Linked DNA regions of Callithrix jacchus. The protein of the gene in region 5 binds, or shares a complex with, the protein of the main gene of each other region. Links are inferred from orthologs where the notes say so. Each region holds a gene or a part of one and is shown on either strand. Other genes may lie near its edges.

Evidence for each region.
Region 1: TAF7 (region 5) and TAF9 share a complex: the UniProt entries of both Homo sapiens proteins name them as parts of the TFIID basal transcription factor complex. The link is inferred for Callithrix jacchus from reciprocal best matches to the Homo sapiens genes TAF7 and TAF9.
Region 2: TAF7 (region 5) and GTF2B share a complex: the UniProt entries of both Homo sapiens proteins name them as parts of the TFIID-containing RNA polymerase II pre-initiation complex. The link is inferred for Callithrix jacchus from reciprocal best matches to the Homo sapiens genes TAF7 and GTF2B.
Region 3: TAF7 (region 5) and TAF11 share a complex: the UniProt entries of both Homo sapiens proteins name them as parts of the TFIID basal transcription factor complex. The link is inferred for Callithrix jacchus from reciprocal best matches to the Homo sapiens genes TAF7 and TAF11.
Region 4: TAF7 (region 5) and TAF3 share a complex: the UniProt entries of both Homo sapiens proteins name them as parts of the TFIID basal transcription factor complex. The link is inferred for Callithrix jacchus from reciprocal best matches to the Homo sapiens genes TAF7 and TAF3.
Region 6: TAF7 (region 5) and TBP share a complex: the UniProt entries of both Homo sapiens proteins name them as parts of the TFIID-containing RNA polymerase II pre-initiation complex. The link is inferred for Callithrix jacchus from reciprocal best matches to the Homo sapiens genes TAF7 and TBP.
Region 7: TAF7 (region 5) and GTF2H3 share a complex: the UniProt entries of both Homo sapiens proteins name them as parts of the TFIID-containing RNA polymerase II pre-initiation complex. The link is inferred for Callithrix jacchus from reciprocal best matches to the Homo sapiens genes TAF7 and GTF2H3.

Annotation. Positions count from the first base shown.
Region 1 is NC_133503.1:140,123,910-140,128,024, reverse strand, and holds the start of TAF9 (transcription initiation factor TFIID subunit 9), read right to left. Parts: upstream 2,801-4,115; 5' UTR 2,731-2,800; exon of another isoform or gene 2,564-2,730; coding exon of another isoform or gene 2,314-2,563; intron 649-2,313; exon of another isoform or gene 574-648; intron 56-573; coding exon of another isoform or gene 1-55. Other genes in the region: AK6 (adenylate kinase isoenzyme 6), read right to left, coding at 1-55, 2,314-2,563; cell cycle checkpoint protein RAD17, read left to right, coding at 3,919-3,928. UniProt on the Homo sapiens protein: The TFIID basal transcription factor complex plays a major role in the initiation of RNA polymerase II (Pol II)-dependent transcription.
Region 2 is NC_133508.1:126,117,452-126,121,452, reverse strand, and holds the start of GTF2B (transcription initiation factor IIB), read left to right. Parts: upstream 1-1,201; 5' UTR 1,202-1,269; coding exon 1,270-1,286; exon of another isoform or gene 1,287-3,069; coding exon of another isoform or gene 3,070-3,083; intron 3,084-4,001. UniProt on the Homo sapiens protein: General transcription factor that plays a role in transcription initiation by RNA polymerase II (Pol II). Involved in the pre-initiation complex (PIC) formation and Pol II recruitment at promoter DNA.
Region 3 is NC_133505.1:43,120,438-43,122,965, forward strand, and holds the end of TAF11 (transcription initiation factor TFIID subunit 11), read right to left. Parts: intron 1,430-2,528; coding exon 1,299-1,429; 3' UTR 501-1,298; downstream 1-500. UniProt on the Homo sapiens protein: The TFIID basal transcription factor complex plays a major role in the initiation of RNA polymerase II (Pol II)-dependent transcription.
Region 4 is NC_133508.1:6,114,534-6,118,033, reverse strand, and holds part of TAF3 (transcription initiation factor TFIID subunit 3), read left to right. Parts: intron 1-3,257; coding exon 3,258-3,500. UniProt on the Homo sapiens protein: The TFIID basal transcription factor complex plays a major role in the initiation of RNA polymerase II (Pol II)-dependent transcription.
Region 5 is NC_133503.1:39,749,875-39,754,020, forward strand, and holds TAF7 (transcription initiation factor TFIID subunit 7), read right to left. Parts: upstream 2,801-4,146; 5' UTR 2,024-2,800; coding exon 974-2,023; 3' UTR 467-973; downstream 1-466. UniProt on the Homo sapiens protein: The TFIID basal transcription factor complex plays a major role in the initiation of RNA polymerase II (Pol II)-dependent transcription.
Region 6 is NC_133505.1:177,185,679-177,189,178, forward strand, and holds part of TBP (TATA-box-binding protein), read left to right. Parts: intron 1-953; coding exon 954-1,375; intron 1,376-3,500. UniProt on the Homo sapiens protein: The TFIID basal transcription factor complex plays a major role in the initiation of RNA polymerase II (Pol II)-dependent transcription.
Region 7 is NC_133510.1:126,833,931-126,837,430, reverse strand, and holds part of GTF2H3 (general transcription factor IIH subunit 3), read right to left. Parts: intron 2,546-3,500; coding exon 2,516-2,545; intron 2,372-2,515; coding exon 2,343-2,371; intron 431-2,342; coding exon 356-430; intron 1-355. UniProt on the Homo sapiens protein: Component of the general transcription and DNA repair factor IIH (TFIIH) core complex, which is involved in general and transcription-coupled nucleotide excision repair (NER) of damaged DNA and, when complexed to CAK, in RNA transcription by RNA polymerase II.

The DNA.
Region 1 (4,115 bases), about 100 Mb from region 5:
CCTGATTTTGATGCAAGTTCTTTGCCTAGTGTGGTTTTTCCAACCCCTGGTGTACCTGTAAGATAAGCCACAGAAAAATATTGTTTGTGAAATACTACTCATCACACTGTAGCCCACCTTCTGCCCTTTTTTTTTTTTTTTTTTTTTGAGACAGAGTCTCCCCTGGTCTCTGCCCTTAAGGTTCTCAATGAATGAAATGAAAAATCTTCTAATTAGCAATCATATGTAAGTTTTTTTTTTTGAGATGGAGTTTCCTTCTTGTCACCCAGGCTGGAATGCAGTGGCAAAATCTCAACTCACTGCAACCTCCACCTCCCAGATTCAAGTGATTCTCCTGCCTCAGTCTCCTGAGTGGCTGGAATTACAGGCATCTGCCACCACACCCAGCTAATAATCTTTGAATTTTTAGAGACGAGGTTTCCCCATATTGGCCAGGCTGGTCTCGAACTCCTGACCTCAGGTGATCCGCCCACCTCAGCCTCCCAAAGTGCTGGAATTACAGGCATGAGCCACCTCAATATGTCTATGATCTAATAAAAATTTTCCAAAGCTAACTGAATGTCAAAATATTACCCAGTTATTGATCCTTCAAGGGTGAGGCTCAGCAGATTCTGTCGCAGATTCAAACTGCCTGCTACTACCATGGAACTGTTCAGAATAAAATTAACCACCTCAAATCAATTACAGTCATTTATTTACTTTTTTTTTTTAAAGACAAGATATCTCTTTGTTGCTCAGGTGGAGTGCAGTGGCACTTGGCTCACTGCAGCCTTAACCTCCCGGGCTCAAGCAATCCTCCCATCTCAGCATGTCCAGTTGACGAGGCCATAGTGTGTACCACCATGCCCTGGTTAATTTTTGTAGATGGGGTTTCGCTATGTTGCCTAGGCTGAGCTCAAGCAATCTGCCCACCTCCCTCTCCCAAAGTACTGGGATTACAGGCATGAGCCACCCATCCGGCATATTTGCTTTAATTTAAATAGATTAAGAAACTGTTCATAGCCAGGTGTGGTGGCTCATGCCTGTAATCCCAGCAATTTGGGAGGCCAAGGCAGGGGGATTGCTTAAGCTCAGGAGTTCGAGACCAGCCCCGGCAACATAATGAGACTGTCCCAAAACAAAAACAAAAACTGTTCATGTTAAAATGTAAGCAGTCTTACCCCTTGCACCCTTCCCTAGAGACAACCACTGTGAACCAGTTTCCCATACATGTATATCTTCCCAGAGAAACCCTATTTATGTTGCATATGAATGTACATGTATATACATACTTTGTATATACATACATAAATACAACATATATTCCCTTTTACATAAATGACAATACTACATACTATACATTGCTTCTTACCTTCCCCTTTTGATACCTATTATAATTACACTTCAAGATCAAATTTGTAATTTTCAGCTATTCAGGTTTAACATCCCTGAAATTAAACTTGAGCATAAAGATAACAGGGATAATCCAGTTCCCACACGGAAGAGATTAACAGTTACCTCAAGTCCACTATAATTCACCAAGTCTGAACCCTGGACTCAATTATGTTTTCAATAAAATGCTCACTTTAAAGTTTTGACAATGACACAATATTAATAACCAAGGCACTATGTTTGATCCATGCAAAAAGATGTGATATCTTCCACTTAAGAAATCTTAAATGCTAAACATTATTTGTGGCCTGGTTAATCGGCACCTCTCAGAAACAGACATGTCTTGTGCGCTGCAAATCATCTTATGTTTAGATGAACGCTGTAACTTTACTGCTTTATTTCCACCGACTCTTAATTTTTCGGTACGTTCCAATAAAATCTACATGCATTAGATTTTTCCACGAATGGTCTACAATTTAATAAACACTTTAAGGACTAAAATATTCGATGAAGTCGTTACGCAGCAGCATTTTAGTTCCTTCACCGGTAACACGCACCCTGAGTATGGCTTCAAAGACCCACTCCTACGCGAGAAACGACCCGAAATGCTCACTAGATTCCTCTCCTTTAAGGGGCTGGGGAGAACCTCTGATGTAACTCAACAAAGGCATACAGTAATTTAGTCACACCACAAACATCTAAAGTCATTTCCCGAAATCTGATCTGAGGAGCAAAGGAAAAAATAAAATATGGCCCAGGGAGGCCTAAGGAGTGAGGCCTCCACCATTAATGGCTCTACTGGAGAACAGATGTGACCTTACACTATTTCGCTAAAAATCCCAAAGCCAACCCTGCCAAAGAATCAACAACCCATTTTACACACAAAATACCAGATTCAGAAAGACTAAGCAGACTGCCAAGCAGGAGAGCTGATCTGCCGACCTCTCTCCTCCTCCCCCGGAAGTCTCGGGCCACCGGAATTAACGTTCCGCATCCCCTCCCCCACCTCCTGCCAAGCCCGTGAGGGTCGGCTCCCGGGGCGCTGCAGCCGCCTCGCGGCCCTCGGGAGGCCTCCAAACAGAACACTGAGCGGGGCCCGAGGCCCAGAGCACTCCGCAAACCTCGCCTGCCCCCTCCCAGCCCCTCCCGGCCGCGCGCCCTGACCGGTGAGCAGGATGTTCGGAAGCAACATGGTCCTCGCTGCAACTGCTCCGATCACCTCGCTCAAGCGCCCTTTGCACTACGGGGAGGAGCCGGAAGGGGCGGGCGGCAGTGAGAGCCCACGGGCCCCAAGGACCTCCAGGCCCACCGCGGCGTCCCCGGCCTGCCCCGGCGGCCCAGCTGCGGCCCACTAGTTACCTAGCTTTCCCTAACACGTTTCCATCGCAAAGTTGAAGGGTGGGCATAACTCGGGTCGGTGCTTCGGGTCAGGCAGTGCGCTGGATGCCTAAGTCACACACTCCGGCGGGCCCCGCCCTTCGGTTGCGTCGCGGATGCGCCGACCATTTTGAAAGGTCCCCGGGAGGCCGTACCTCAGAGAGGCCCGGATACGGCCAGGTGGCTACCCTTTCACTCGGGGTAGATCCTGTTCGCCTCCGCTCTTCGCCGAAAAGGGAATGCAGCTCCGGGAACGTAAGGCCGCCGCGGCTGCCGCTATAATATGTATATGTCTTAGAGACGCGAGTCTATCTTTGCCTTCAAGCCTTCTTGGGCTCTCGTCGCTCCTCCTCCTGACCCGCCCGTCCCATCTGGGGATGAGAAGATTGAGGGTGCAGAGCCCAGTCCTGCAGCGGGGATTTGCGAGCTCAACCCGGCACCCTACTGATTACAGGATTACGTTGGACGAATATTTGACCTTAGTATTCCCTGTTCACTGTGTGGGGTGGTGGTGGGTCGGCTAGGAATAGTCTTGAAGGTCTACCTCTGACATCTCATTTCAGGAATCTGGCATCTTCAGGGACAGTTACCTGCTTTTAAAAGGAGGTAATTGTCAATCTTGTTTTCAAAGAGTGAATAGAGTCCTGACGGTGACAACAGTCTGCATCTTTTATTTCGAGCTACAAACTATATTTACTCAAATGTTTTGTTTGTTTTTTTACCAACTGTGTACCATTTGAAACGTCAAAGTCTAACCGTGAACGATTTGGGACGAAAGGCCAGCAATTTGTTTTCTAGTACGTAGGGGTGTTTATAGGCGATGTGTGCTCCAAACTGTAAAATAGTTCAGTATACTTTCCAGTGTATAAATTTGTAGGCATTAAAATTCTCTTCTGGCTAACTTAAAATTGTTGAATTCACTAGTTTGCATAAAGGTTTAAGAATTTGAAAACACAATTGAAAAACAGTGTTACTAAGAAATTTTCTAATAACATGATCAAATGAAAACAGTTTTACAGTAAGATTTAAATTCTTTGTCCACAGCAAGTGAATTCATTGTATTTTATTTTTTGGGAAATGTTGGAAATGAAGAACTGCAACTGTAATTTGAAATAAGGAAAACTTTAATTTTCAGTATATAAACTACTCAAATAGAATTGCCTGATTTTAATGACAAAAGGTAAGTAGAACAGTTTGTGAATTTTTTTTTTCTGTTTTTCTCAAATACGTCATTGAGTTCATGTGAAAAACTCCGTTTGTAACACCACAAGTAGTTTATTTATCCAGTTATAGTCATTAAAAGTAAAATTATTTTAGAATTTTGATTTCCTGTATCACTTAAATTGACTGTTTTCACTAATTATTGA
Region 2 (4,001 bases), on a different chromosome or scaffold from region 5:
ACTCCTGGGCTCAAGCAGTTTGCATAGGAGTGTAACTTTGTGATTTCACTTTAGCCTCTCATTGGTTGCTTTCCACAACCAATCAGACTGATTGTGGCACCACTACTTCATTTAAACTATACCAAGTAACTTAATGGGAAACCGCTAGAGGGTATTTAAACCCCAGAAACATTCTAATGGGACTCTTGAGCCTGTATACTCTGTTCGCTCCCACCCTGTGGAGTGTATTTTCGTTTTCAATAAATTTCTGCCTTTATTGCTTCATTCTTTCCCTGCTTTGTGCGTTTTGTCTAGTTCTTTGTTCATAAACGCCAAGAACCTGGACACCCTCCACCACTAACCGTGTTATTGTTGTTAGTAGCAGTATTATTACTTTTTTGACATTAGTTTGGCTAATTAATCTAGGGATATTTTACAGTATCTAGATGTTCTGCCAAGTTTACTATACGTAGCTATCAGCAAAATTTGCAAAGGCAATGAAAAAACAAAATGATCAGAATAGCCCATAGCTTCATGCCTGTCGTACACACATTGCTCTCACATAGTTTTGTTTCATCTCCCAATTCTAAAAGGGTATGCAAGGCAAGATACTATAACCCAGATAAACCTAAGTAACCTATGTAAAGGACGTGCCTAAGAAGACAGCATGCTTGCTGATGACAGAGCCTGAACAGACACCTGTTCTGGATGACCTAAGTGAATTCTTTTTTTATTCCAAATTCCTTAGAAAGAATCACCCTTGGGGCACGTAGGAACTGGCTCTAGAGCTCCAATAGCCAGCTAAAACGGCGCCTAAAAAAAAAAAAAGAGAGAGAGAGAGAGAGAACTGGCTCAAATGGGAGCGCATGACGCGGGGTGGGTGGTAGCGGTGAGAAAGTGGGAGAGGAACGGGTGGTTAGACTTTTAGGGATGCAGGCTTTGGCATCACTATGAAGCCAGGGTTTTCTTCTGACAGGGTTTTAACTCTGTCAGATTGAGAGTAGCTCTGTTGTAGCCCCTTTGCAGGGTTCCCATGAGACTTTTCTTACCTTGACTCTCTTAGCAACATAGCAAACTACAGAAACAGAATAAGAACGTAAGAAATCGTGAAGCACGTGATGTATAGGACTCTGACTGTTCTTGGCCCTTCTCCCGACCCGTAGCCCCGCCCTGTTACGACTGCGTGGGTTGTCTATAAAGATTCATCTCTGCGCGTCTTTCCGCCACATTCGCTTCCTGTTTTCGGTGGTTCTGTTTTGGCTTGTTCCGGGCACCGCAGTGGCAGTGAAGATGGCGTCTACCAGCCGGTTAGTGTGTTTGTCCGAGCCCGGCGAACTAAGGGGCGGTGCCTCGGGCTTTTAGGCGGTCTCCGGGCAGCCTCATCGGGCTGAGCGCCTAAGGATATGGGAGAGAAGCGGCGGGACTGGCGGACCGGCCGGGACAAAGGCACTTCCAGACAGCAGGACTGTCGGGGTGTCGCAGGGGTTACCCAGCTATCGACGTTATTGCCCCGGCGTCCTGTGTCTTCTGTAGGCACCACCCTTTGTGGGTCCTGGTGGGCTTCTGTGTCCCCAGCCCTTGCCCTCGTGTCTTTTCCGAGTATTTCGATCTGCTTTTCTCTTTTTCTCCCCCTACGCTTGTTTTTTCATCTACGACCCAAACAATCAGGGGTCCACAATTTTCTCCTTTTCAAAGGGACGGGAAACAGTTCTAGACCCTTATCGGTCTGACAGCTAGGAAGTTGGGAACGTCAGCATTGGTAAGCCGGATGGAACCAGGTTACCATCGCAGCAGGCCTGGGAAGTGGAAGCTAGAGCCATCGAGAGTTGATTAGTTGCTTGCTAAAGGGTTTGTTTACAAATGTCGTTGCCTGTGTACTTCTGAAGAAAATCTTGTCTAAGAAAATTAGTTATACGTACTGGGAGGTCGTTCTGTAGTATATAGTTAAGAATGCAATGTACTCATATCTACAGGAAATGCATGTAGTATCTTCAGAAACAGCCTTTAATCTTGTGACCTGAAAAATGCTTTCAGACCCTAATTATATTTCTTATTACCACTATGAGGTAGATATTAGTATTTTTGCATAAGTGTAAACTGAGTCATGCCAATGTTGGCTTTTCCAAGGGTAGTGTTAGAGTGTAGAGTCTAAGATACCTGTTTCCTGTTATCCACACTTGGCCTCTGATTAACTAATGTTGTATTGAAAGTATCAAATGAGTTCTACAGCTTCCGGAACTCTGGCACTGTTTTTCTGACCCTGCCGTCGTCTGTGGAATTGGTTAATTTCATAGTGAAAGCCATTTTCACAGAATAATTAAACCTTTTCTGGTAACTGCCAATATTTTTTTTGTGTGTGGTTAGAAAAAAAGAGTTTGGGGTGGGAGGCAGCTTTAGCTAATGTACTGTTCGGATAGAGAACCCTTAAAGCCAGTGACACACTTTGCTGATTTTGATTCTTTGATTGGATACTCATTCTATCTGGGTGGTGTTCTGTCAGGTAAGGCCTCCTTGTAGGTAAATGGAAAACTTTAGCTTCCCCAAATCACTCAAATACGACTTAAGTTCTATCGTGGCTTTTTTTTTTAAGTCTGAAATTTTTTCTAGATATCTGCAATTTGTGTCATTGCAGTTCCAGTTTTTCTACCAGTGACAACAAAGTGTTAAATGTATTTTTCTTTTCATTTTTTGGAGGAGTCTCTTGCTCTTTCGCCTGGACTGAAATGCAAGTGGTACAATCATGGCTCACTGGAGCGGTGACCGCCCCAGTTCAAGTGATCCTCCCACCTCAACCTCCTGAGTAGCTGGGACTATAGGCGCACACCACCGTGCCTGGCTCATCTTTTTATTTTAAAATTTTATTAATTTTTATTTTTGTAGAGACAAGGCCTCATTAGGCTGCCCAGGCTGGTCTCGAACTCCTGGGCTCAAGCAGTCCTCTGGCCTTGGGCTACCAAAGTGCTGCAATAACAGGCATGAGACACCGTGCCTAGCCTAAATGTTGTATTTCTGCCTTTTGCATGTTTTTCCCTCGGGAAGATCTACTGACTAGACTATGAAACTGGCTGGTGTCCTCACCAAAGAGTACAAATGTGCATTCAAATGTAAGCTCCACCACTTACTATGACTTCGGCAAATCATTCTCTGAGCAAAATCTTTAAAATGGAAAATAGTGCCTTTCTTGCAGGATTGTTATGGAGATTGACAGTAATGTATAACACCCGTCATATAGTGCATCCCCAATAAATGATAGCTATAAATGGAGTTGGGGATTATCTGGTACTTTAGTAGTCTTATTTTAATGTCAGTGGTGGTGGTTTCTCTATTCCTTCCCTATTCTCTGTTACTATGTCCACCACCTGATTTGTATGGTTCCTCTTTTGTATTGTGGGTAATTGGATTAAAAGTTTACTAATTTAGCATACTTTTATTTTGATAGGTAAAACATACAAATCGTCCAAAAGCAAAAGCACGAAAGACTAAAATCATGAAAAGTAGTCTCCCTCGTTTCTTGGCTCCCAGCCATCTAAGTCTCCCCTGATCATAGTTACTAGTTTCTTGGTGTTTTCCTAGTACTTAAGCTTTAAAAAACAAACACAAATAGTTCTAACTGCTCTTCTCCCGAAAAGTGTCCTAATTTAAACTCTCTTCACTACCTTGCTTTTACCTTTTTTTTTTTTTTTTTTTTAATGATGTTAGGGCACAGATTTTAAAAGTGGGCAGCTCAGTTACAAAGTGAGCACATATATAAAGCTAGTACTCGGGTAAGGAAATCAGATACTGCTAGCACTAGCTAAGACACTAGCAAAGTCTCTCTCCTCAGTCATTCCTCCTCCTTAGAGAAAACCACATCCTGATTTCTAACACCATAAATTTGTTTTGGCTGCTTTAAAGTTGGCATAAATGGCATTTTATTCTGCTCTCTAGTACCTGTCAGCATGTTGAGGTTCATCCATGTTATTGTGTATAGCTAATTCACACTTTTTCAGTTTTGTATAGGTTTTCTACTTTACTGTTCTTAT
Region 3 (2,528 bases), on a different chromosome or scaffold from region 5:
CTTCCGTAGAGAGGAAAAATTATTGGGGATTGCCAATTACATACAGTAGCCTTATTACTGCGAATCACTGTCAATAAAAGGTCACTTCATTCCCCTCCATTTGAGAAAAACAATGAGAATGTATCTGATGAACTGGAATCCCAGTCGTATTGGGAAACTTCAATGTTGCAATATCTAGTCAAACTTTGAGTGTACTGGTTCTGTGAACCACCTGTAAAAACAAATTAAATTTATTAAATCATAATGGTTGTTGTATATCTGTTGATAAGCATCTGAAATATATGGGCTTTTATATTGTTTATTTTCTCAGTTTTAGGGGGAGATTATTACATTGTTTTTAACAGTGCTTGAAGTACTCTTTTATGAGAGAAAATTTTAATGGTTTTATTAGAAAAAGGACTCAAATTTTCACAAAATAGCCAAAACCAGTTGTATTGGAACACCAGAAAATAATCAACTTCCCATTACCACCAGCTAGACAGAAAATGAATACACATAAGGCAAGTTGGAAAACAGTTTAATGATCACTCACCAAAATCCACAGGAGAATCTTAAATGTTTACAAGCACCAGTTATTCCACGATTCCTGCCTTTACCACGTCCTTCATGGTAGAGTATCACAAGTCAAAGTTTCTGGTTGTTTCATCTACTTAAAACTGGTTGTAAGAAACGAACTAAGTCTTAGCAACTTTAGGCTTCAATGTGAAACCATTAAAGCTCTTGGCACTTAAGGAGGCTGAGGCAGGAGGGCTGCTTCAAGCCAAGAGTTCATGACCAGCCTGGGCAACAAAGCAAGACCCCATGTCCATAAAAAATAAAAATAAGTTAACTGGACACAGTAGTGTGTGTCTGTAGTCCTAGCTGCTCAGGAGATTGAGGTGGGAGTGTCACTTCACTTAAGCCCAGGAATTCAAGGCTGCAAACATGCCGCTGCACTCCAGCACTCTAGCCTGGGTGACACGCAAGACCCTATCTAAAAAAAAAAAAAAAAAACCTCTTGGAAAGATTTTTCTCTCTGAAAGCAGTTCTCCTGTCCAGAAAATGTTTATGGCCCACACTTCTTCCAACTGGCCAAGACAAATACTTCAAAATGCCCCAAGAGGTCCCAAAATTTAGTCAAGGCAAGTATCAAACAGGCTACATACTTTCTAGGTGTGACGAATAATCAAGAGTTTTGAGAGACATTAAAATCATGGAATCCTTGGAGGACTGAGATACTAAAGCACCAGTAGCCAGTCTTACAGGAAGTCCGGAACCAATACTTCTTCTGTCAGTAACAGGCCTTTCTAGACTTTGGTCTAGAAGAAGATGATTTTTTTGTGCTTCGAGTTAGGGATCTGTCCTTTTGACTTTAACCTTCTAACAGCTTCCCTCATATGTTTGGGTTGCAGTGGTGGCATTTCTCCCCATTTCTCACACACATCCAGTGCTAAACAGAGGGTAAGGAGAAAGTCTTATTATCACACAAGAATTTACTAATCACATAATCCTTTTGAGTCCTGTAATTCTCGTTAACCTTTCTTAAGCTTGCTAAGGAAATAAACCAAGACATTTTTACTTTAAGAGAATGATATAAAATGTATCACATTAGTTTTAGTATAACATTTCATATCAGGCTTTATCATAGACAGCAGTTTAAAACATATTTCTTATAGGCCGCATGCTATGGCTCATGCCTATAACCCCAGCAGTTAGGGAGGCCAAGGTGGGAGGATTTGCTTGAGCCCAGGGGTTTGAGACCAGCCTGGGCAACATGGCAAAACCTTGTCTTTACAAAAAAATTAAAAAGCCAGGGTGGTGGTGTGCACCTGTGGTCCCAACTACTGAGGAGGCTGAGGCAGGAGGATCACCTGAGCCCAGGACCTGCTGTCGCAGTGATCCATGATCATGCCACTGCACTCCAGCCTGGGCAGCAGAGTGAAACCCTGTCTCAAAAAAATAACTACATAAAAATAAAATTAAAAATTAGCCAGGTGTGGTAGTGCATGCCTACAGTCCTAGCCACTTGGGAGGCTGAGGCAGGAGGATCCCTTGAGTTCAGGAGTTTGAGGTTGTAGTGAGCTATGATCACACCACTGTTATCATCTCATTTTGTACACCATCTTAATTGATGATTTGTAAAAGAAAAAAAAAAACATGAAAAAAACTAAAGATCATGCCACTGCACTCCAGCTTGGGCAACGGAGCAAGACCCTGTCTCAAAAAATAGTAATAATTTAAAAGTATGTATCTCCTGCTTAAAAAATAAAAAAATTCACCAGCTAGAGTAGCAATGGGAAACAGCCAGGCTTTTTACTCAATAACGGGGGCAGCTCCCAGGGATCACTACATTAGGGACAACTTACCATCCCATACAGGTCAGCCCTGGGATTGCTTTTCTTTTATTTATTTATTTTTTTACTTCCTCTAACACGGATCATAGGAAACAATGCTTTTCTTATATCTTTACTTTTGGCAGCAGAAATGAGCAAAGTCCACTGGAGAAAAAAAATCTAGGCCAGGTGCAGTGGCTCAAGCCTGTAATCCCA
Region 4 (3,500 bases), on a different chromosome or scaffold from region 5:
AGTAAAAACAAACTGATGTGGCTGTTTCTGCTAGAAGAAATGTTCACGAGTGAAAGCAAGTATTAGAAGTTACCATTAATTCAACAATAATGAACTTTAGACTTGCCCTAAGGTAACAGTTTCTCCCAGCATTCAGGGGCGGATGTCTCTGTCTGTGTCACATTGCGTGTTAGACACGTGCGCATGCACTGAAAGCAGCTGCTCAGTCTTTCAGACTGGCTGTTCAACACTAGTGCCGTCATAGTTTTTGCATGGTACAGGGAGTAAATGTAAGAGGAGTAAGAGGAGAGATGCTTGTAGGCTATGGACTGGGGTAGGATTACTTCACAGAAAAGATAAGATTTGAGTTGAGCTATGACGTATGGCTGTGTAAGGGTATCAAGTATTCCAGGTTAGAGAATAGCAGACACTAAGCTGTCCAGGTGACGTTAAGCATAATCAAAATACCAGTAAGGTGATCAACTCCATATGCAGTCCACTCCAAGGGTGCCTGACAAAAATGTCAGCAGAGTGAAATCAGGTTATGGAGGGACTTAAAAGCTAGACAAGAGAATTAAAACATGTAGTAGAAAACATTGCATACTTGTAAGTCGGGGGCAGAGTATGATTGAAGTGGTATTTTAGGAAAATTCTATCGACAGTGATGTGGACAAGAGATTGAAGTGGGCAGAACTTTAGACTATAGTAGACAGTGACAGTAAGAATAGAGAGAAAGGAAAACATCTGAAATCATGGTTTAAAAAAAAAGTGGGGGGACTGGGCATGGTGGGTCACACCTGTAATCCCAGCACTTGGGAGGCTGAGATTAGGAGTTCGAGACCAGCCTGACCAACATGGTGAGACCCTGTCTCTACTAAAAATACAAAAATTAACCAGATGTTGTGGCACATGCCTGTAATCCCAGCTATTCGTGTGGCTGAGGCAAGAGAATCACTTGAATCTGGGAGGCAGAGGTTTCGGTGAGCCGAGATCATGCCATTGTACTCCAGCCTGGGCAAAAAGAGCGAAACTCTGTCTCAAAAAAAAAAAGGTGGGGGGGCATAGGATTAGAAAAAGTACCAAATTTTGGTTTGAGCCTGCAAAGGATATGGAGGAATCGAAGATGATTGTATTTTTTAGACTGAGAGTGTAATAATAGCTTTAATAGGAATAGAGGAGTCGAAATGCATATTGACATTCAGTAAGAGGAAGAGTATTCGTTTTATTTTTCCTTCTTTTATACATCACAGAAGTAACCCATACTTGTAGAAAGAATGTCAGTAAAAACAAACTGATGGTGTTTGTTTCTTCTGAAAGAAATGTTCTCAAGAAAGAAATGAAAGACTGCAGAAGTATGTGGAGTTAGAAGTCTCCTGCTTCCACCACCGGCTTCCCTCTGCTGCAGCTTCTGTCCCCTTGAGCTGTTAGCCATTGGCTGAATATCCTTTCAGACGTTTCTGTATGCATTACTGCACATGTGTCCAATTCTAGCAATATTTGGATTCTTTTTCATTTTACAGTGTGATTTAATTTTAGGCATACTGAGTTTGAAGTGATCAAATTTCAGGATTTCAGTTAAAAAGTCAGGTTTTCAGTTAAATCCTTTAGACTATTGAAAATCAGAAACTGGAGTTTTCATAGACGTTTTTAAGGATGTAGAGACCTTAAGCTCTGCTAAGGGTAGGCATAGGGAAAACTTGCTTTTATAAAGAAAAATCTTACTATATCTAACTTTTAATCTCTTGATTTCTGTTCTAATTACATTTGAAAATTTATAGGTAAATTGTAAATTTACCTATAAACCCTATAAAAATTTACCTATAAATCCTGGGTGCACCCAGGACTACCAGTGCACCACCACCATGCCCAGCCATTTAAATTTACCTATAAATGGCTGGGCATGGTGGTGGTACACTGATAGTCCCAGCTACTCAGGAGGCTAAGGTGGGAGGATGGCTTGAGCCTGGGAAGTCAAGGTTGCAGTGAGCCATGATCGCCCTGCTGCACTCCAGCCTGGGCAGCAAAGTGAGACCCTGTCTCTTAAAAAAATAACAAAAAACAAGCAAAAACCAAACTTTTATGATATAGATCTTCTTTGTAAATATTTTCAGGTTTTAAAAATTCATTTAATTGTATGATTCATTCAGTAGCTATTGAGTACCAGTTATGTGCCAGCCACTGTTTAAGATTCCACAGATGCATCAGTGAACAACAGACGAAATATAATGAACATTGGCTTCGTCAGCACAGCAACTATTTACTTGATGATTAAAAAAAAAAAACAAAAAAGGGCCAGACACATTAGCTTACACCTGTTACCCCACCACGTTGGGAGGCAGAGGCAGGAGGATTGCTTGAGGCCAGGAGTTCAACTTAGCCTGAGCAACACAGCGAGAACCCATCTCGACAAAATGAAAAAAAAAAAAAAAAATTAGCCAGGTGTGGTGGCAGGTGCTTGTAGTCCCAGCCACTCAGGAGACTGAGATGGGAAGATCGCTTGAGCCCAGGAGTTTTGAGGCAGCAGGGAGCTATGATCATACCACCACACTCCAGCCTGGGCAACAAGCAAGATGCCATCTTTTTTTTTTTTTTCCCAAGATGGAGTCTTGATCTGTCACCCAGGCTAGAGTGTAGTGGTGTGATCTCGGCTTACCGTAACCTTTGACTCCCGGGTTCAAGCAGTTCTCTTGCCTCAGCAACCCCCCTCCGCCGCCCCCCGAGTAGCTGCGATTATAGGCACATGCCACCATGCCTGGCTAATTTTTGTATTATTAGTAGAGATGGGGTTTCACCATGTTGGCCAGGCTGGTCTCAAACTCCTGACCTTGTGAACTGCCTGCCTTGGCCTCTCAAAGTGCTGCGATTATAGGCATGAACCACCTTCTCCAGCCAAGATGCCATCTCCTAAAAAAAAAAAAAAACAAAAAAAACCCACAGTATTTTATTATTATTTGGGGGGGCATTTTCTGTGTGCTAGCCACAGTTCCGGATGCTTTTGATAATACTTTGATATTTGTTCTAGAGTAGCTGATCATGAGTTGGATTTTTTCTGTGGTGTGCTGGCTAGTTGTCTGATCGTATTTGAACGTGACTTTAATAATCAGCTTAAGCATGATTCTGTGATATTCTATTTAAAATCTATTAAATTCTTTCCAATAACTAGGTTAAAATACTTGATTCTGAGCTGCATATTTATTTAACTACTTTTTCTTAATATTTAAAAATATAGTCATGGGATTTTCTTCAAATAATTTGATTTGCTTTTGGCTTTGTTTCAGATGGCCGAACAGACCCAATTTTGGATGATGTTGGTGAAGCTTTCCAACTTATGGGGGTTAGTCTGCATGAACTGGAAGACTATATTCACAACATTGAACCTGTCACTTTCCCACATCAAATTCCGTCATTTCCGGTTAGCAAGAACAATGTACTTCAGTTTCCTCAACCTGGAAGTAAAGATGCAGAGGAAAGAAAAGAATACATTCCTGATTACCTGCCACCCATTGTGTCTTCTCAAGAAG
Region 5 (4,146 bases):
ATAAATAACCTCAGTTCTTAGAATATTAAATAATTGTAGGAACTCAATTGAAGAAAATTAGAAATAAAATCTTAATTCAAACCAATGGAATGGTTCATTGGACTGCACTTGATAACCACTGCTTTGTTTTCAACATTTTAAGCAGGTAGATTTAGTGCTTTTAAAAAAAAAAAAGCACAAAGGCCTTCATCTACAGAAATTATGGTAAAGAAAGCTCTGTATCTAATGTTTCCCAGCTTCAAGTAGATCAGACAGAATTGGAACCTTAATGTGATGCAAATTTGACAACTCCCAATTTCTTTATCCCTGCTACGTTCCTTTTTTTTTTTTTTTTTTTTTTTTTCATAAAATCCAACTGCTTCTACCTGCAGAACAGGATTAAATTGCTCAGTTACTAAACTCCACCACAAAAACACCTCCCAAGAGAATCTCACTCCCACCAACCATGAAAGAACAAGATACATTATAAGGTGAAAAACAGACGCTTTTATTTATTGTATTGAAAACTTTATAAAATAATTTGCAGTTCTACATATGGGAAACTGCTTTGAATAACTGGGAAAACAGCTATTGCATGGGAAAACATATACAAACCAGCTTCACTGTCTCTAGACTAAGTTTTTCTTATTGATCTCATGTCATCACAAAGCAGCAACACCAGCTTCTAGGAAAATGGATAAACAGCAAAGTCCTGCAGTGAAACTATAATTAAGGTTGAACCATACATTACACTAATACTGCAACTTTCCTACAATCATTTTTCTGCCTATATAATTTTTCTTATAGGATTAACAACTAGCAAAACAAGGTAAGTTTGCAGAAAAACAAAATTAAAAACAAAAGAATTCAACAGAACACCCAGCATTAGAGGGACTAGGAAGGGCAAGGTCTTAATATGCAGTACAAGTAATAAAGCTAAGAATTTTCTACTGCTGACCAGTCTGAAGACTGAAATTCAGTAGCAGAGTTCTTTTTACTTCTCTAGGAGTGATTCTAGCTCCTCTTGCAAAGAGCTGAGTTGCTCCTTTTCTCGATCTTCCTTTTGCTTGAGCTCATCCAGTACAGCCTGAAATCTGTTCTTGAGAGCCAGATTTTCCACTTTCATGATGAGATCCTCTTGTCGTTTTGCCCTGTCCTGGGTCTCTTGGAGCTTGCCTTTCATGTTGTCAATCTGCTTCTGAATTCCCATAACCAGCTGATTGGTTCCTTCATTCTTTTGGTGCTGTTCGTCTGATGCATTTAACTTCTCCTGTAGCTGTCTCTCCAGATCTTCCTCAGTGTCAATGATGTTTATATCTTCTTCATCTTGATGCTGGGTCTCATCTTCATCCTCACTGCTGCTGCTGAGGTCATTGAATATCTCTCGAAGCTCATCATGCTCTAATGAGTCATGGCCCTGCCTGTGACCAGACATTCCTGGAGAAGAGATATCCAGGCCTTGATTTTCTGTCTCCTTTGTTTCATCTTCAGCAATTATTTCCCACCGAGTACTAACAGCTTCAGCATCTGTACTCAGCAATCGTTTCACTTCTTTCTCCACATCTGGAGATTCAATATACTTCTTCTTTGCTGTCTTCCGGAACCTTCTCTTCCTGACATTCTTTAGAGGCAGAGTAATTCCGTGGTTCCAGATGAACTTTTTCTCTTTGTCCTTATCCTTTTTCTTGCTAGCTTTAGGATCAGCGCTAGCAACTGGCTCCTCCACTGGAGGATAGAGATCACCATCAACTGTGGCTACAAGCATCTGAGAGATATCAGCTGTCTTGTAAAAGGTTTTCTTATCAATGGTTTTCAAGCTTTCCATAACACAAGGTAGGTCAACCAATTTTGAGGCCAATGGAACACGGTCCACTCTGACAATTCCATGACGCCCATCAGGGTGTAACTCAATTGTCAGTCTGTCCTTGAGGTTGACATGACCAGACTGTACTGCCCTTCTCACAGTAGAGGCATATTCTGGAGGCAGACGTAAGATAAACTGGCTCTCCAGTTCGTGAGGAGCATCATCTTTGCTTTTACTCATCTTTATTTCTTTGTGACTCACTTCTCCAATAAATGCTGGTTACACTGAAAAGTTCCAGCTACTGCAACAGTTTAAAACACCAGTTTGCTATGAATTGAAATCGTTTAATTACAAGAAGTTCTCTGTAGATCAGCAGCTAAGCGTCTATTTTGCTTCAGTTTTAAGTCCAAGTCTTTTCTCTAAATATGCTGTGACTGAATACCAGTCGTTACTGACAACAATGGCTTATTCACAGATTTTTCATTAAATCAGATGCAATGCCAAGTCCCAACCTCTAGGTGCCGCTGCCGGACAACGCGGATAGAGCTAGCTAGCTACAGAGCAGGAAAGCAAATGGCGGCTCCCGCGGAACGGTTTTCGGCCCAGAAAGCCCAGCAGAGACACTCCCAAGTCACAGACTCTCCCGGAACAAAGACATTCAAAAAATCGGGGCGCAGTAAGCTCTCTTCGCCTCGGGTACTTACAATCCAGTGACGATTATAAGTTCAGTTTCACCCGGTTGGAGCGAACAGGAGGCCGAGCGGAGCAAAGCGGGAGCAGGCCGAGCGGAGCAAAGCGGGAGCAGGCCGAACGGAGCAAAGCGGAAGGAAGCCGAACGGAGCAAAGCGGGAGGGAGCCCAGCGTCTCCTTCTCGTTTCCTTTGTTCTTCCTGCTGGTTTGCAGAATGATCCACTACCGATTACTGATGAAAGGGCCCGGGACGGGCAGCGCGAAAGCCTGACGAGAGCGGCAGCCCGCAGCACAACAACCGTCAACTCGCTGACCCTCCGACTGAGTGCCCAACCCAGCGAAAAAGGAAGTGCTACGTCACGGCGCGGGGCGGGAGGCGGCTGTGAGTGACAGCCCGCCCGGGCGGAAGTGCGGAGCCCGGCGTGCGCCGGCGCAATAGCGCAATTACGGTGCCCAGCGTGAAGTTCGTCTTTTCGCGAGAAATGTTCTTCCAGGATGAAAATGGCAGGGTTTCGTAAGGGCTGTTGGTTTCAAAATATTTAAAGGTTGGAAGTTCCAAGAAAGATACAGATTCATCCCCCGCTAAGCCAGCACTTTTACGGGATCGATTTGGGGCTCGATGGCTTTTAGACTTCCGGGTGATCCCCGGAGATGGAGTCCTTGCTTCTGGAAACATCTCGGATGCTCCCTAGGGTCTTAACCAATCTGGTGTCAATACAAGAATGTGTAGCTGCTATGCAATGGATTTTAAAGTACCCGAATTAGTGGAGTGAGGACATGCAGCTCGCTATATAATTCTCTCTCTCTCTCTCTCTCTCTCTCTCTCTCTCTCTCTATATATATATATATATATATATATTTTTTTTTTTTTTTTTTTTTTTTGACACAGAATCTCACCCTGTCACCCAGGCTAGAGTGCAGTGGCGCGCGATATTGGCTCACTGCAACCTCCACCTCGGGAGTTCAAGCTGTTCGCCTGCCTCAGCCTCTAGAGTAGCTGGGATTACAGGCACGTGCCACTACGCCCGGCTAAGAGAAGGGGTTTCACCAGGTTGGCCTCCAACTCCAGACCTGAGGTGATCCGCCTGTCTTGGCCTTCCAAAGTGCTGGGATTATAGGTGTGAGCCACCGCGCCCAGCCCACAGTCTACATTGTTTTAATTCTGAGAATGCCTGTAGGGGAATCCTACCTCTGGATTTACTTTTGTTCTGGAATACTCCTGGGGAAACAAGGATGATTCCTTTTTATGTGCTTGATTTAGATGTAAATGTAAACAGTGAAGGAAGTGTTCTTCTGGAAGCACAGGTTCATTTTGGACAGAATTGTCTGATAGCTGAGCATCTTTTTAAAGTAGATATAATGGAAGTATTGTTTCCTGCCTCTCTTGTAGCTAATTTTAAATTACTCTGGAAATTTTTTTTTGCACTATCTCTGTTTTGCTGTTTTCTGCTTGTCTTTTCTATGGCTAGTCAGGTATTCTTCAATGCATGCTTTTAGTATTTTGGCATAACTGGATAATAGTACTTATTTCTATTTATTTTTAAAATAAGATCTGTTTGGTAGAGCATAATGGCCATTAATACTTAATTTCTATCCTCTAAAATATTAATTGCCCCTAAATTTAAGAGAATTCTCTCAAGATGTAATTAACAGTTCCAAAATTCACTTTATTG
Region 6 (3,500 bases), on a different chromosome or scaffold from region 5:
TCCTGGTGAAGAGGCTGTGAGCATTGTTGAACTGCTGACAAAGGATTTAGAATATTACATAAACTTAGTTGATAAAGCAGCAGCAGGTATGAGAGGATTGACTCCAACTTTGAAATAAGTTCTAGTGTGGGTAAAATGCTGTCAAACAGCATCGTATGCTACAGAGACATCTTTAGTGAAAGGAAGAATCTGTGGCAAACGTCATCAGTCTTATTTTAAGAAATTGCCACAGCTACCACCCTGATCAGTCAACAGCCATCAACACTGAAGCAAGACCCTCTGTTAGCAAAATGATTATGACTTGCTAGAGGCTCACCTGATCGTTAGCATTTTTAGCAATACAGCATTTTTAAATTAAAGTATATACATATTTTTAGACATAATGCTATTGCACACTTAATAGACTACAATATGGTATAAACATAACTTTTAAAGACACTGTGAAACCAAAAACTTCATACTGCTTGCTTTATTGAGATGGTCTGGAACCTAAACCGTAGTATCTCTAAGGTATGCCTGTATCTTCATTTGTAATATGTCCTTCACATTTTTTGCCCTTCTTAATTATTTGTTGATCTTCTTTTATGGAGTTGTCGGAGCTCTTTATTATTCTGTTTACCAGACCTTTCTCAGATGTATGTGTTTCAGGTATTTTTTTTCCCAGTCTGTGGCCCGCCTTTTAATTTTCTCAGTGGTGTCTTTCAAAGAACAGAAGTTTTTAATTTTCCAAAGCTCAGTTTATCAATTTTTCTTCATGTTTATCCACTATGGGATATTAAGGAAGAAAGCAATGTGTTTAAGAATAGCAGGTTCTTCCCTAATTAATGTCTAACAACCCCATTATTCTCAGAAGGCATCTGCCTTTGCACATCTCACCTGCTGTTCTACCAGGAAAGTTCCACCAACACTTAGCACCAGCTAGCCTAACCTGTTTTTCTCCCTGCTTTCCACAGGGTGCCATGACTCCTGGAATCCCTATCTTTAGTCCAATGATGCCTTATGGCACTGGACTGACCCCACAGCCTATTCAGAACACCAATAGTCTGTCTATTTTGGAAGAGCAACAAAGGCAGCAGCAGCAGCAACAGCAGCAGCAGCAGCAGCAGCAGCAGCAGCAGCAGCAGCAACAACAGCAGCAACAGCAGCAGGCAGTGGCAGCCGCAGCCGTTCAGCAGTCAACATCCCAGCAGGCAACGTCCCAGCAGGCGACACAGGGAACCTCAGGCCAGGCACCACAGCTCTTCCACTCACAGACTCTCACAACTGCACCCTTGCCAGGCACCACTCCACTGTATCCCTCCCCCATGACCCCCATGACGCCCATCACTCCTGCCACACCGGCTTCTGAGAGCTCTGGGATTGTACCGCAGCTGCAGTGAGTACTTGCTGTTTTATATGTCCTCCCCCTTAGGAGTCCCTTTGAGCTGTGTTCCTGCTCTGTTTTTAGATGCATCCTTCTATTAAGGGAGTGGCACTGATGGCGACTGTGTATCAAATTGCCTTATCTCACACTTGGGAAAGGGAGCAAAGCTGTCTTAGTGCCCTCAGTGAAAGGCTCTCTTAACAGGTTCAGAAATGTGGTCATTTGTGTTTATATACTTGAAACAACAAAATTTAATCTGAATTCCACTGTTATTATTATAGACATTTCCCTGTATCTGATATCGCTGAATCACAGTGTTGTGATTTAGCTTGTGATTTATATCTTCAAAGATATAAATCTTTGAAGGCCTGTGTCCTTCCCACAAAGTGAGAATGACTGTTCTTGTCCTAAATGGATTTTTCTACCTAAATGAAGTGGGTTCTATATGTAACAGGGTACTTGGGGTAGGAAATAATTTCATCTTCCTGAAAAACCAAGCAAGTATTTCCAAATAATCCCAGTCAATAAGAAGTGTATACCTTTTCATTTTAGAAAGCTTATGACCAAATGAAAAGGTTACTTGCAGTCTCTGCATCTCCTCAGTTTTCTTGTACAGATACCTCCCTCCTTCTTACTCCCTTTAGATCTAGTATTTCCTGTCTGCATGTGTTCATCTTGTTACACGCATGGTTGTAACATCCCCACTTCCTTTCTTTGAGACGGTCTCACTGTTTCCCAGGCCAGAGTACAGTGGTGTGATAACAGCCCATCGTGGCCTTTAACTTATAAGCTATCTCTGATCATTTTTGGAACTAAGTGGTGTGTAATTGTGGATGCTAACTTTCACCCAAAGACCTAAATCTTTCCTCCACAATTTTGTTTGAACCCACGCACAATTTTAAAAATAATTTTAGTGATTTTAGAGAGAGCCTTGTTAGCTCACCCTTGTCTACACCACTCCCATGTGTCCAGCATGCCTGTCTGACTCCCAGGGATGTTTAAGTTTGCATTTCTGATTTAAATCATAAACAGTCCAGTCAGGTGTTTGTTTCTTACCAGTGCCTTTGTCCTGACACTCTATAGAGCATCCAGTCATCCACATTCCTGAATTTCCACTATCTACTAAGAGCCCTACTAGTTTGTAATTCAGTGCCCTCTAAATCTTGTAGGCTTAAAGGAATTAAGGTAATTATTAAATTATTGAAAATATATGAGAATACATTCAACAACTATGTGACTAAAATCTACTTGATATAGTTCATAAGTGAACAAACACTAAAGGCAGGTGTGTATACAAAGGTGATTCGAAGGAAAGAGATGATACAGAAATGAAAACATTGTGTTGATCACCCTAATTGGCTTTACAGTTGTGTATCTTAGATTGCCATTCTCTGTTGAACAAAATTATGAGCCATCAAGTTTTCACAAGTATTGCATTTTGAGAGTACAAGAAAAAGAACCAGAAGCAACAGTGAGCTATTTGAACCCTATGCATTTGAAATCTGGAATCAATATTCTTGGGATGGTGATTTCCAGGTCTATGCAAGACAGTTTTTGAGCAGCTGATACATTCAGAGGGCATTGCCCATTTCAAGTATATATACTTTCATAAGCAGAAAAATGTATAATGAAAATAGGAGTTTGTTGTTTAAATTTTTATTAAAATTTCTAATAAAGTTACTTTTTAGTATATCTTTATCCTTATGTAATTATCCACTAATTTATTGAAGAACACTGAAAAATGAAAAGGGTCAGTGGACACAAATGGCTGTATTTACCCTTATTTACTGAGAGTTCCTTAGAGGAGAAAGCAGGGTTTTGCTTTTTTGTTTTCTGAAAACACTTAGCTCTTGTTTTTCCAAAAGATACTTACTTTGAGAGAACTGAGGCAGTTCATGCCTGTTTATCTTCAATATAAATACTGACTTCTTTTAGGAATAGGGTGGTAGTGGTGGCTTTTCAGAGCTCACAGGTGACAGTTGAGTTTGTCTATGAGGAGGCCAAGGGCGTGGCTCTGGAAACAGATTCAAATCCTGGCTCCACGGTTTGGGAGCCATGTGCATCCTGAGCAAGTTGTACTCCCTTTAAGCCTCAGCTTATTTATCTGCATGTGGGAATACTAGTAACTTCCTCAGTG
Region 7 (3,500 bases), on a different chromosome or scaffold from region 5:
TCTTTATAGACCTCACCACAGCAAAATGATAAAGAAATTGAGGCAAGGTTTATACAGCAAACTGTCAAACCAGGGATTCTTGGCATGGGGTCCAAAGATGGGCTAAGGGTGACCTGAATACCATAAACTCTATGCAAAACCGTGGCTGAGTGCACATTGTTTTGGAAATGCATCAGATTCTCAAGTGGTCCAGGACCCAAAATAGAGAAAAGACTACAACACAATACAGATTCTGGATTCCTAGCCCATTCACAAGGCAATTTAATCAGAATATCTCAGAGTAGAGCATTCAAAAAATGAAACTCACTCCTTCTTTATGAAACAAATACTTTTAAAACATAGGCTCTTGGTTCACCTGTTTCTGTGCTGCGAAGATGACATTCATGAAGTTCATATACTGCAATGCACTGTCTTCTGCAGCCTTAATCACCTAAAAATCACAGCCATGTTAATTCCGCTCAGGCACATCCCAGTTCTCTCACACCAGTGTCACACAATATACTGTGAACCACAATCAACATTATTCCAATCTGTCTTCCCATTTATCATTATTAAATGATACCTAAAGGATAAAGATGATAGTAACATTTCCACCCAAATCCCACCACCCAGCGACAGTCCACGTAAGGGTTTGAGGAACTCATTCTCGAGAGCACCTGTGTAGGTAGGTATATACGACACACACACACAAAATACACACACATGTACATACGCCCAGAATACACATATGCACACACAAAATATACACATGCACACCCAAAATACACACACAAAATACAGACACATGCACATACACCCAAAACACACACTCAAAATATAAACACACCCAAAACACACACAGTCAAAATACACCCCAAACACACATGCCCAAAATACACACGTGCACATACACCCAAAACACACCCACATCCAAAATACATACACCCTGAATACATGCACAACCAAAACACACACATACACATACCCGAAATACAGGCACAAACACCCAAAATACACCCTGAAAATATACACATTCCAAAATAAGCACATCCCCAAAATATACACATCCAAAATACATACACACAAATACACATACACCCAAAACACACATACCCCCACACCCAAAATATACCCCCCAAGAAACATATCCCACACACACATCTAAAATACACACACAACAAAATACATACACCCCAAAGTATACACACCCCAAATACACGCATAAAACACACACAAACCCAGAATACACACACCCAAAACACACAAACACACCGGAAACACACATACATCCAAGATACACATACACACACCCAAAATGCACACACTCAAAATACACACACAGGTGTCAGGATGATTACCTAGGATTCTGCAACCTGCTTTTTCAGTCCACAATATATGTGGGAAAAAATATTTTAACGTTGATGAATTAGAATATATACTGTGCTTCTTGCTGACTTCATAAATATCCACCATTTAAGCAGTTTCCAGTTCTCCATTTTAAACAATGCTCTGATGACACCCTCATGTACCCTTGCACAACTCTCTAATACTTCCAGGAAATAAGCAGTGATTGATTACTGATATGGACATTTAATTTTGATACAGATTACCAAAATGCACTCCAGAAAAATTTTTACCAGTTACCCTCCCATCAGCAATGCATGAGAACAATCAATCCCCAACTGCACCATCAACCTTGGGAACTGCCAGTTTTTTCATTTGTGCAGAGCAACAATGAAAATCTCATTATTTGACATGTTTTGCTTACTAGCAACACTGAACATACTGTCAAACGCTAACCTGACCTTTTGCATTTCTTCTTTTGCAGACTGCTTGTTTTCTACCTGTTTTTCTTAAGCTTGACTTTTAACAACTAATTTATAAGAGCCGCTTTTTATTTTGGAAATATTGGGTTAATTTTCTGTCAGGTAGCTCTGCTGGAAATACTTTTCCTAAAACTTTTTCCTTCATCCTTGTTTTGGGAGTTTCATATTTTCAAGATCTTAAGCTTTGAGTTTCATATCGTGCTTAGCAAGGCACTCACCTTCCCAAACTACCAAGGTTATTTTACTCTAGCACGTCCTCCGCCTCCCAAGTTCAAGGTATTCTCCTGCCTCAGCCTCCTGAGTAGCTGCGATTACAGCGTGCACCACCACGCCGAGCTAATTTTGTATTTTGAGTAGAGATGAGGTTTCATCATGTTAGCCAGGCTGGTCTCTAACTCCTGACCTCAAGTGATCCGTCTGCCTCCACCTTCCAAAGTGCTGTGATTACAGGCGTGAGCCACGGCGCCTGGCCTCCAGTTTGTTTTCTAATTGTCTACAGTTGTCATATAAACAAAGTAATGATTTTTGTAATCTTACCAATATCCTTGATTTCATTTCCTGATTATCTAGAAAGAGAAAAAAGCAGAATAAAATTTAACTAAACCTTACTAAGCATATATGGCTTCCTAATCAATGTTTAAACAGTCCAGCAAAGACATCTGGTAAAATAAGTAGGATTACGGTTCTCATAGAAAAATGCAGGCTCTTACCTTTAATTTCCTTGTTCATTCTATGAATGTCTTAATTTTTTAACATTAAGGAATACAAAAATATTATTTTACTTCATACATATTTATAGTAAAAAGAAAAATAACCTCCAATTTTAAATAAACCTGGCATCTACATAGCTAAGAAAGGAAATTCGGCCAGGCGCAGTGGCTCACGCCTGTAATCCCAGCACTTTGGGAGGCCAAGGCGGGTGGATCACGAGGTCAAGAGATCGAGACCATCCTGGTCAACTGGTGAAACCCCGTCTCTACTAAAAACACAAAAAATTGGCTGGGCATGGTGGTGCGTGCCTGTGATCCCAGCTACTCAGGAGGCTGACGCAGGAGAATTGCCTGAGCTCAGGAGGTGGAGATTGCGGTGAGCCGAGATTGCGCCATTGCACTCCAGCCTGGGTAACAAGAGTGAAACTCTGTCTCAAAAAAAGAAAAAAAAAGAAAAAGAAAGGAAATTCTCCACTTACTAACACGAGAGCAATTGAGGGTTTCAGTTACTAACGCTGCAGTCAACTGGGCTTTGTAATCTGACCAAAATAAAATCTTTGTCTCAGAAAATTAAAATTAGCAACACTTGACTCTCCTATTCTTATCTACCGTGTCCTAAATTTGAGTCCTGGGACAAGTATTGATTCACACAGATGTTCAGGCAACCCACATCAAACTCTAGGACAAAGGAATCACTCAATACTGTCCCTGCCCCCAAAATTAATGCCATAAGACTGAGAAAACGTCACACAGATAAAATGGAAAGGTATTGCCCTATGCTACGTGGAAAACAATCTGTACACCAATGGGGAAGTGGCCACTCATTTACTAAGCTTTAGGGCTCCTAAGCAGCTTTTAAAAGTCAAACACTGTTCCCAAGTCAAGAATATGAAAATGTTTTAAAAGTTCTAATTTATCAAAATAAGAAACAGGAAAGCAGCCTGAAGCAGCGCTCCCTGCAGGCAGAGAGACACAATGGAGAAGC